2 linked regions of the Neodiprion lecontei genome follow. The protein of the gene in region 1 interacts with the protein of each later gene in a pairwise test. Links are inferred from orthologs where the notes say so. Each region holds a gene or a part of one and is shown in the gene's direction. Other genes may lie near its edges. The genes, in order: epidermal growth factor receptor kinase substrate 8 and E3 ubiquitin-protein ligase Su(dx).

Evidence for each region.
Region 2: the proteins of epidermal growth factor receptor kinase substrate 8 (region 1) and E3 ubiquitin-protein ligase Su(dx) interact in a two-hybrid assay, tested with the Caenorhabditis elegans proteins (2 studies listed by BioGRID). The link is inferred for Neodiprion lecontei from reciprocal best matches to the Caenorhabditis elegans genes eps-8 and wwp-1.

What each region holds. Positions count from the first base shown.
Region 1 is NC_060264.1:35,608,515-35,612,446, forward strand, and holds the start of epidermal growth factor receptor kinase substrate 8, read left to right. Parts: upstream 1-960; 5' UTR 961-1,088; exon of another isoform or gene 1,089-1,177; intron 1,178-1,183; exon of another isoform or gene 1,184-1,319; intron 1,320-3,932.
Region 2 is NC_060261.1:34,763,765-34,767,696, forward strand, and holds the start of E3 ubiquitin-protein ligase Su(dx), read left to right. Parts: upstream 1-1,054; 5' UTR 1,055-1,193; intron 1,194-2,003; 5' UTR 2,004-2,084; coding exon 2,085-2,142; intron 2,143-2,251; coding exon 2,252-2,707; intron 2,708-2,778; coding exon 2,779-3,175; intron 3,176-3,343; coding exon 3,344-3,575; intron 3,576-3,683; coding exon 3,684-3,932. Other genes in the region: RNA-binding protein NOB1, read right to left, coding at 250-382, 623-694. UniProt on the Caenorhabditis elegans protein: E3 ubiquitin-protein ligase which accepts ubiquitin from an E2 ubiquitin-conjugating enzyme in the form of a thioester and then directly transfers the ubiquitin to targeted substrates. Ubiquitinates klf-1.

The sequences.
Region 1 (3,932 bases):
TTGTGGGCCATTCATTGCCAAAATTTGTTCAGAAATCACTTCTGCATAATTCGAAAAGCCAATTCTGGAAATTAGAAATACAGTCAAGCTGTAGTTGACCGAATTCAATCGATTTCGTAAAAACTTGTAATATGGCCACAGCAAAATTGAAATATGGTAAAAAAAAAAATATCAGGACTACGTTTTTTCGGCTTTGACTTTCAAATTGTCTGAAAAACATCCTTCGGCTTTAGAGGACGTTTTTAAAATAGCGAATTTTCTCCCATCGACACTGGATTATCGTTAGCTAATAACGATTCATGGATGCGAAAATTGTAATGCAACAGCCTTGACTGTATCCTCCGAAAGAATCAGACTGAAGTTAAGCGATTGAAAAATTACTCTCAAGGAGTTGGCTTTTCAAAATTGAAGTATATTTTGTTTACAATGGTTTACCAAATCTCGGACTTTCCTATAAATGCGAAGTACCGATTTTTCGTCAACATGCACCGTTACAGTAACGTTACTACTTTATCTTGACTTCATCCTATTCCGAAAGAATCTCGGGTACAGTTTTCAAAGTTGGAGCTTCCAAATTCTTTCACCGACTCCATTTAAATACCTTCCGCGAAGAAAACAGTTTGGACTTTAACTGTAGTATGTTCTTGCCGTAATAAAAGAAGTTTATGCCTTCCATGTTCCGAGAAATACGAGCAGGTAAAATTTGGCTTGAATTCAATGGCCAGAGCAAGCAAATACCCACGACTGTCGTTTATTGTTTTGCCGCCTTTGTGAGCGCTACAGGGCAAGCCGAGAATCCGCTATCGGTGGCCCAGGTAAACCTAAGACCTCTTCTAACCGATCGTACCGAGCTCCGTCGCAGGTCTCGACGAATGGAAAGCTCGGTACCGTTCCACCTCGACCAATGAGGTGGTTCGTTTCATTTGCTACCTGTCCGTGGGTCGAAGGGGGTGAAGAAGGGGGACACCCGCCCAAGTTTACCTGGGGCTTCGTCAGGTATAGAGGTACGGCACAGGTATTTCCAGTCGACAATGAGTGGGACCGAGGTCCGCCCAAAACTCCGTTGCTCTGTGCCGTATTGTATATAGGTGAGTAGAGTGTGACGTCGGGACTGACACTTGTTGACGGAGTTGATAGTTTTCAAACTTTTATCGTTCTGGTACCTGCAGCTATACCTGTAAGTTGATAAGTTTACAGTGAAAATAAACGGCGGCGATTGGTCTTGTGCCACGCGATTACGATTATAACCACCGTCATATTGGATATTATAAGTTTCGTCGAGCCAAACCCGCGTTCTACCAAAACTCGGCTGTCACAAGGTATTTATCGATGATATTCCACTACACCGATACACCCACATACACGCACGCACATACGCCCATACACGCAGCAGCAGAGATATGGACACTCTTTGGCTAGTCTTAACATCCGACTACCGTAATTTTGTATCAGTATATACATGGGGTACGAATAACACAACTTGAACGGAGCTCCAAGCGTCGATTCCACTTCACCCATTATGCGGCTTATTTCGCAAGCTGTCTGTTTTTCCTGGTTATTGTCCTCTTGAAAATCCAATTAGGGTTTCAGTTCTTGGTGTGTGTTAAGATTGGTGTGTATTAAGATACGGCCGAATTGCCGGTTGAAGCCGAGCTCAATCCCGTACCCAGCTTATGCTGTAGCCCGAGGTAAATATCGCGTTGGGTTGTGACGATAAGGGGAAAGAGGATCGAAAGGAAAAACAAAAATCATACCGGCGTAACTAACAAGAAAACCAAGGTGATTAGAAATCAGTTCCAGGAACTAGCCGCACACGGTGTACTGAATTATTTAAGCGTCTGTACCTACATTGGACGTAATATTTCATCTCGATCCTTACAATTTTGGTCGATCCCGTTCGGTTGTGATGATTAATTAAAACTTGACGAACAGCTCAGTCAAATTTGTCAAAATGCTGATAAGTTCGTGCTAATTTCTTGCCTATCAAGAATTGAAAAGTATCGCGACTTATCTTTCCCGATTAGGGTAATATGCGGTTAGACAAACACACGCATTATTCCGGTAATTTTTGCACGCGCCATGCGAGCTTGATATGCACACCTTGGAAATTTTTTCATCAATTCCGATACAGGGTGTGTCAGCCTAAGGCACGAATAGCTTTGTGAAGCACGTCGTCGTCGCGCAACCTCCCATAAACGTAGGGTAATGTTAATGTACGGAAGAACAACGCGGTACCTATACCTACGCCTCGAAGACATTTCCGATGCGTTTCGTAACGGTCTTACTTTGCCACATGTATGCACACCGACACCGCGCTGCAGGATTCGAGCACCGATTTTCGCCATGCCGTACACGGTGTGTAGATCTATTTTACTTCGCGGTATCGAAAATCGCTTGAAAACACCTGCGCCTAACTTCCAGCGTCTGCACGATCGTCGGACGCTACACACCATATTCCACATTCACAACCAGCCATTAGATTTTCGACCTTGGCCTTGACGAGGTCCGACGACCGATATCTAACTCGGCATCCGAATGTCGAACTTTCTTATCTACCGTATCCCATCAATTTCAAATTGTCAATCAATTTCGCACCGCACTTTGCGGTACAACGATGAAGATCCATAACGTTAGTAGGTATATTTCAAAACGAGCATAGGCATATTATATTATTATACACGAGTTATGAATGCGTACGTGTATTCCGGGAGCAGATGAAAGTTTCTCGACTATACAATATATGTATATATATATGTATATATGCATAGGTATACGTATGCACGTAAGTCGAACCGTGCCATGCGTACACGCGTCGTACCTTCTGTATTTGTGTCAACTGTATACATATACGTATGTGTACACACGTGTTTCGTGTGTGGGATAAGCGCGTCCATTACGGATTGGGAATTTCAAATGTGGTTAAAGTCGCCTTGGAATCTCTGGAATGCGATTCAGCCAAGAACTGATCCCTTCTGGCTGTCTATACATATACATCCTACGTGATACGTACACGATACATACACTTGCGTACATAGGTATACGCATACACACGCCTGTATCGGCGCGTGCATTAATACTCTTTGATGCCGCATGAGATGAGCGGGGGGAGGGGGGGGGGGGCACCTTTCGTTACTTGCCCACATCCAGCCTCGCAAGCTTACATCTCGAATTCGATAGTGTCAACATAAAGGCGCGTGCACACGTGACGTTTCGTTGCCAGTTTTTCACCCGTTGACTTTTGTTCTTTTCTTCTTTCTTCCTCATTCAGGGTCGATGACGATGATGATGTCATTTTCCGTAGGTACGAGACGCACGTTCGCACGTCGGTCGTGTCACTCCGAACAATCAACCGCGAGGAGAATTTGATTCCTCTTGAGGCGCGATACGATATCTAATTCTTGCTCTTCGTACGCCTTTTTTGACTTGCCTATCTTTGACAATATCAGAGACACGATTTTCACCAAAATGGCAGCCTCTAGGTATTGAGGATATTGAGCGGCGAAAATCTCACACATAGTATTAACAATGATGCCGGGATGTTGTATTTCTTTTTCTTTATGCATGGAGTCATACTTCTTGCGATGCTCATGAGAATCTGAAAATATATTTCTAGAGAATTGGGTGGGAATTTTGTAATTATAAGTTTCTATACCAGAACGAGTTTAGATCAGACGCAGTTTTGACGGTATATGAAGGAGAAATTCACCGCCGAGTTGTTGTTACCAATCTAATCTATTTCTCTAGACTGGTTGGTTTGCTCGCGCAGGCTGCAGACTTTCCGTCGTTCGATTTGCAATTGAGAAAAAAGAAAACAGCGTACATACAATCATTCGCCAATTTCTTTCATGAAAAAGCATACTTAGATACCGCCTGCGAAGAAGTAAATATAACGTAATCGCCGTTTGTTGACACGCTTCATGCGAGACTGAAAG
Region 2 (3,932 bases), on another chromosome or scaffold:
AGGTATTGGCACGATTGTTTCTACATACATACATCATATGTGTATTGTAGTTGCAGATAGTAGTGAAATATGATGATTCATATAGGACTTGATTACAAAATGCTCTAGCCATATCATTTGGCATGTTTGGAGTATCGCATATAGACATGGAAAGAGCTATAGATAGAGACATGGAAAGACACGGAGGCGTGAAAAAAGCCACGTGAAGAAATAATGAATACAAGTAGGCTGATTGTTTATTTCTCTCACCAAAATGAATGTTCTCTGGAAAGACATCTTTAATAATCAAGTCGTAAGGTAAAACAACGAGTCTTCTGAGCTGCCGCTTGTTGGTTATTTCATTAACAACATCTTGAGGAGTTATAACGTTGGCAGCGATATCCTGTTACGAAAAATTGGGAGATGAGTTTTTATCATGATATGAGAATTTTGAGCTGAAAAGTGATACGATATCAAGTAATCATAATCTTATCGGTTTAAGTTATGATAAAAAAAGAAGAGTACGAGAAAACGCATTACTAATTAGGTAACGAAGATGGCATAACCTAATTCGAGCTAGTGCAATGTAATTGAGTGTACGCAGGTGAGTGGACAACTGTACTTTATTTATTATTTATCATACCTGTATAGCTGCGTTTCTAATAAATGCACTAGTATCGACAATCAGATACTCCACTTTTGCGTCAGCCTTCATTTTTCCCAGTTTCCAATGGGAGCTTTACATGTGGCCACGCTACACGGAAAATATCACACTTCCATTAGGATATTGGGTCTTTAAATGCTTAAAACGTCTGAAACCACGGAGTGGGAACTACGCAGCTCATGTGAGTTGCTTATGTTTTACAATTACGCTAAAAAACGAGGAAATTCTAGACCCCTGTTCCTTTTGAATACACTCTGTAATAATGAAAAAAAATAAACCGCACAAATCATGACGTTACCAAATTTACGTATCCGTATAAAAATTATTAATCCATTCCCGATTTGTTAAACAATTTATTTATCTCAATTTCGTACTACTCACTTTTAGATCTGACGGACAGCAAGATGGCTGACGTCAGATAGTGAAATATCATGATAACGAATCCTCCGAGTGTTTTTCAACTCAGTTTTTGTGTCTTATAATCGACGATACCGAGCGAGCGATGTTTCAAGACTGCACGCGCCTCAGAAATTTGTTCAATACTATATAGGTTTGTATCCTTATAGTTGAAACGTCAAAACCTATCTGCAATGTATGATGAATCAACCATTCGCGAAACGTCAAGATTAATGTCCCGTATATTACTCATAATTTTCGTTTCATTTTTCTGTACCTCATTTCCTAGTCTAATGTAATACTCCCATTGTTACCAAATAGTCAGTTTACATTTCTTAATTTGTTGCTTGTAAAATAGTATTCCATTTACAGTTCGTTATATTGATTCCTCAACAATTCACACCTTTGTTTTTTATGAATTTTATTTTTGTTAATTATCTTCTCACATGATCAATCAATTGATAGCGACAACATTTACAAATTTTGCTGATCTGTTACGTACTTCATTCTTTCCTCTACGCAACTTAATTTCTATCTGCACCTAATTTATTAAATGAATTGTAATCGTCTTTGTTTTTTTGTTCTATAGTCTTACTGCGCAAACCTCAATCTGTATTCTATTGGCTACAAATATTTAAAGTTCTCTCACTTTGCCAACTAACAAACGATCTAAGCAATTTTTGACCAATTTTTTAGTCAGCAAATAATAAGACAGGAAAAGAAAGTATTCTTCTAACATATAGTTTAGTCAGTTTTGCTGAGTAACAGCTGGATCCGTGATAAGCTGAATTATAAGCTTTCTGAATCACGAAAATAGAAATATTTACAGATTGATCATTTATATTTACCTTACACCAGAGAATCTGATTCACAGAAAATATTCCTAGATCCCTTGAACCTATTGTTTTCAATGATTTTAAGTAAATTCTACACATTATACTAAATGTTCTTTTTTATTTTTCAGTTATACAATACTCTGAAAGCTGAGTTTTAATATGAATGGTATTTCAAGATTATTTTGGTGAATCACATCTAAAGGCAAACCATGTCACAGTGCGAAGTGGAAGCTGCAACTCCAGGGTTTCATCAGCTTAGCATCACTAGTAAATGATAATAGTTTTTTAAATTTTGCATCCACTATGATCAAGTTCTACCTCATCTACTTATCTTAAAAACATGTTGATTTCCAAGATATATTAATTTTCATTTCAGTTGAAGCAGCCGTATTGCGCAATTCGTCATTTCTGAAACCTAATCCTTACGTTGAACTCTCAGTTGATGACAAGAGTCCTCGCAAAACTGAGATTGCAAAATCCACATATCAGCCAAAATGGGTGGAAAAGTTTACCATTCTTGTAACACCTTACTCCCAGCTGCATTTTAGACTCTTGGATCACAGCACCTTTCGTAGGGATGCATTGATTGGTGAAAAGAGAATTAATTTGTTTCAAGTTTTGTCCTACTACAATGGAAAATTGGATAATGTTGAATTAACTTTGGATTTAATGAGCGAAAATAAACACGATGCTTATGGTCCACTATCAAAGGTTGGAGAGTTGGTAACATTATTTGACGGACTAAAAATTGATATGAACGAAGTCATACCCTCTAATTCCTGCGAACAAGTTCGCCACAATCAAGTTACAAGCGGTGCCCTGACGCCACTTGGTAAGGCCTTAAATCTCAGAGATATTTTTTCGCATTAGCTGAAATGTTGATCGAACATTTTTTATTTCTAGGTTCTTCAAACAGTGACTCTGGGAACAATCGAAGTATTCTAAATGGTGGTGTGAGAGCTCGCATGCGATTACACGGATCAGAGAATGCAGCACCTTCCGTCATGCAGCCAGTTATGCATCGAAGTTCAACCAACATTCTTCACAATCCTAGTCACACTGCAAGTCAACCCAGTAATAATACCAACAATGCTCAAATTGTTGGCCTTACCTCTCCTATGGCTAATGGAGTTGGTAATCATTTGGCTACTGAAAGTAGCAGTGGATCAACAGGGCCCCCACTGGGTCAACCAGCATCTGCTGGACCATCTGGAGTACCCGGGGAGACTGAAAATGGTAATCAGCCTGAAGAACCTTTGCCTGCTGGTTGGGAAATGAGATATGACGTCTATGGCAGAAGGTAAATTATGGATTGTCATTTAATTAAAAAGGTTCGTTTGTTTCTGGCGATTTTACAACCATTCTTGTACAGAATATCTGAATCATTGAGTATCTAAAGAGAAATATACTGCTATAAATTTGAAGATTGACGAACTATTTCAGTTTTTTTAGTTTTTTATCGTTCCAGGTATTATGTAGATCACAACACTCGCAGTACATCCTGGGAAAGGCCACAGCCACTCCCACCAGGCTGGGAAGTACGAAGGGATCCTCGAGGGAGAATTTATTATGTAGATCACAATACAAGAAGTACTACTTGGCAACGCCCCAACACAGAGAGGCTACAGCATTTCCAGCACTGGCAGGGAGAACGGCAACATGTTGTCCAACAAGGAAATCAAAGATTCCTCTACCCTCAGGTGATCACCAACTGAAAAAATTGGAGAAAATTTCGTCATTGAAGATGAATTTTTTTTCAGAACAACCAAAAATCTTTTTATTCTTATCTTCTGCACATTTTTTTAAAGGCTCATGGTGGACAAGCAGCAGTGGCTGGTCTTTCAACGGCAGTCGTTGAAGAAGATGATGCTCTAGGGCCCCTGCCAGCTGGTTGGGAGAGACGCAAACAGCCCGAAGGCAGAGTTTACTATGTGAATCATAAAAATCGAACAACTCAATGGGAGGATCCAAGAACGCAAGGACAAGAAACAGGAATGGACGAACCACCCTTACCTGATGGATGGGAGATTAGATTAACTGAAGATGGAGTCCGGTAT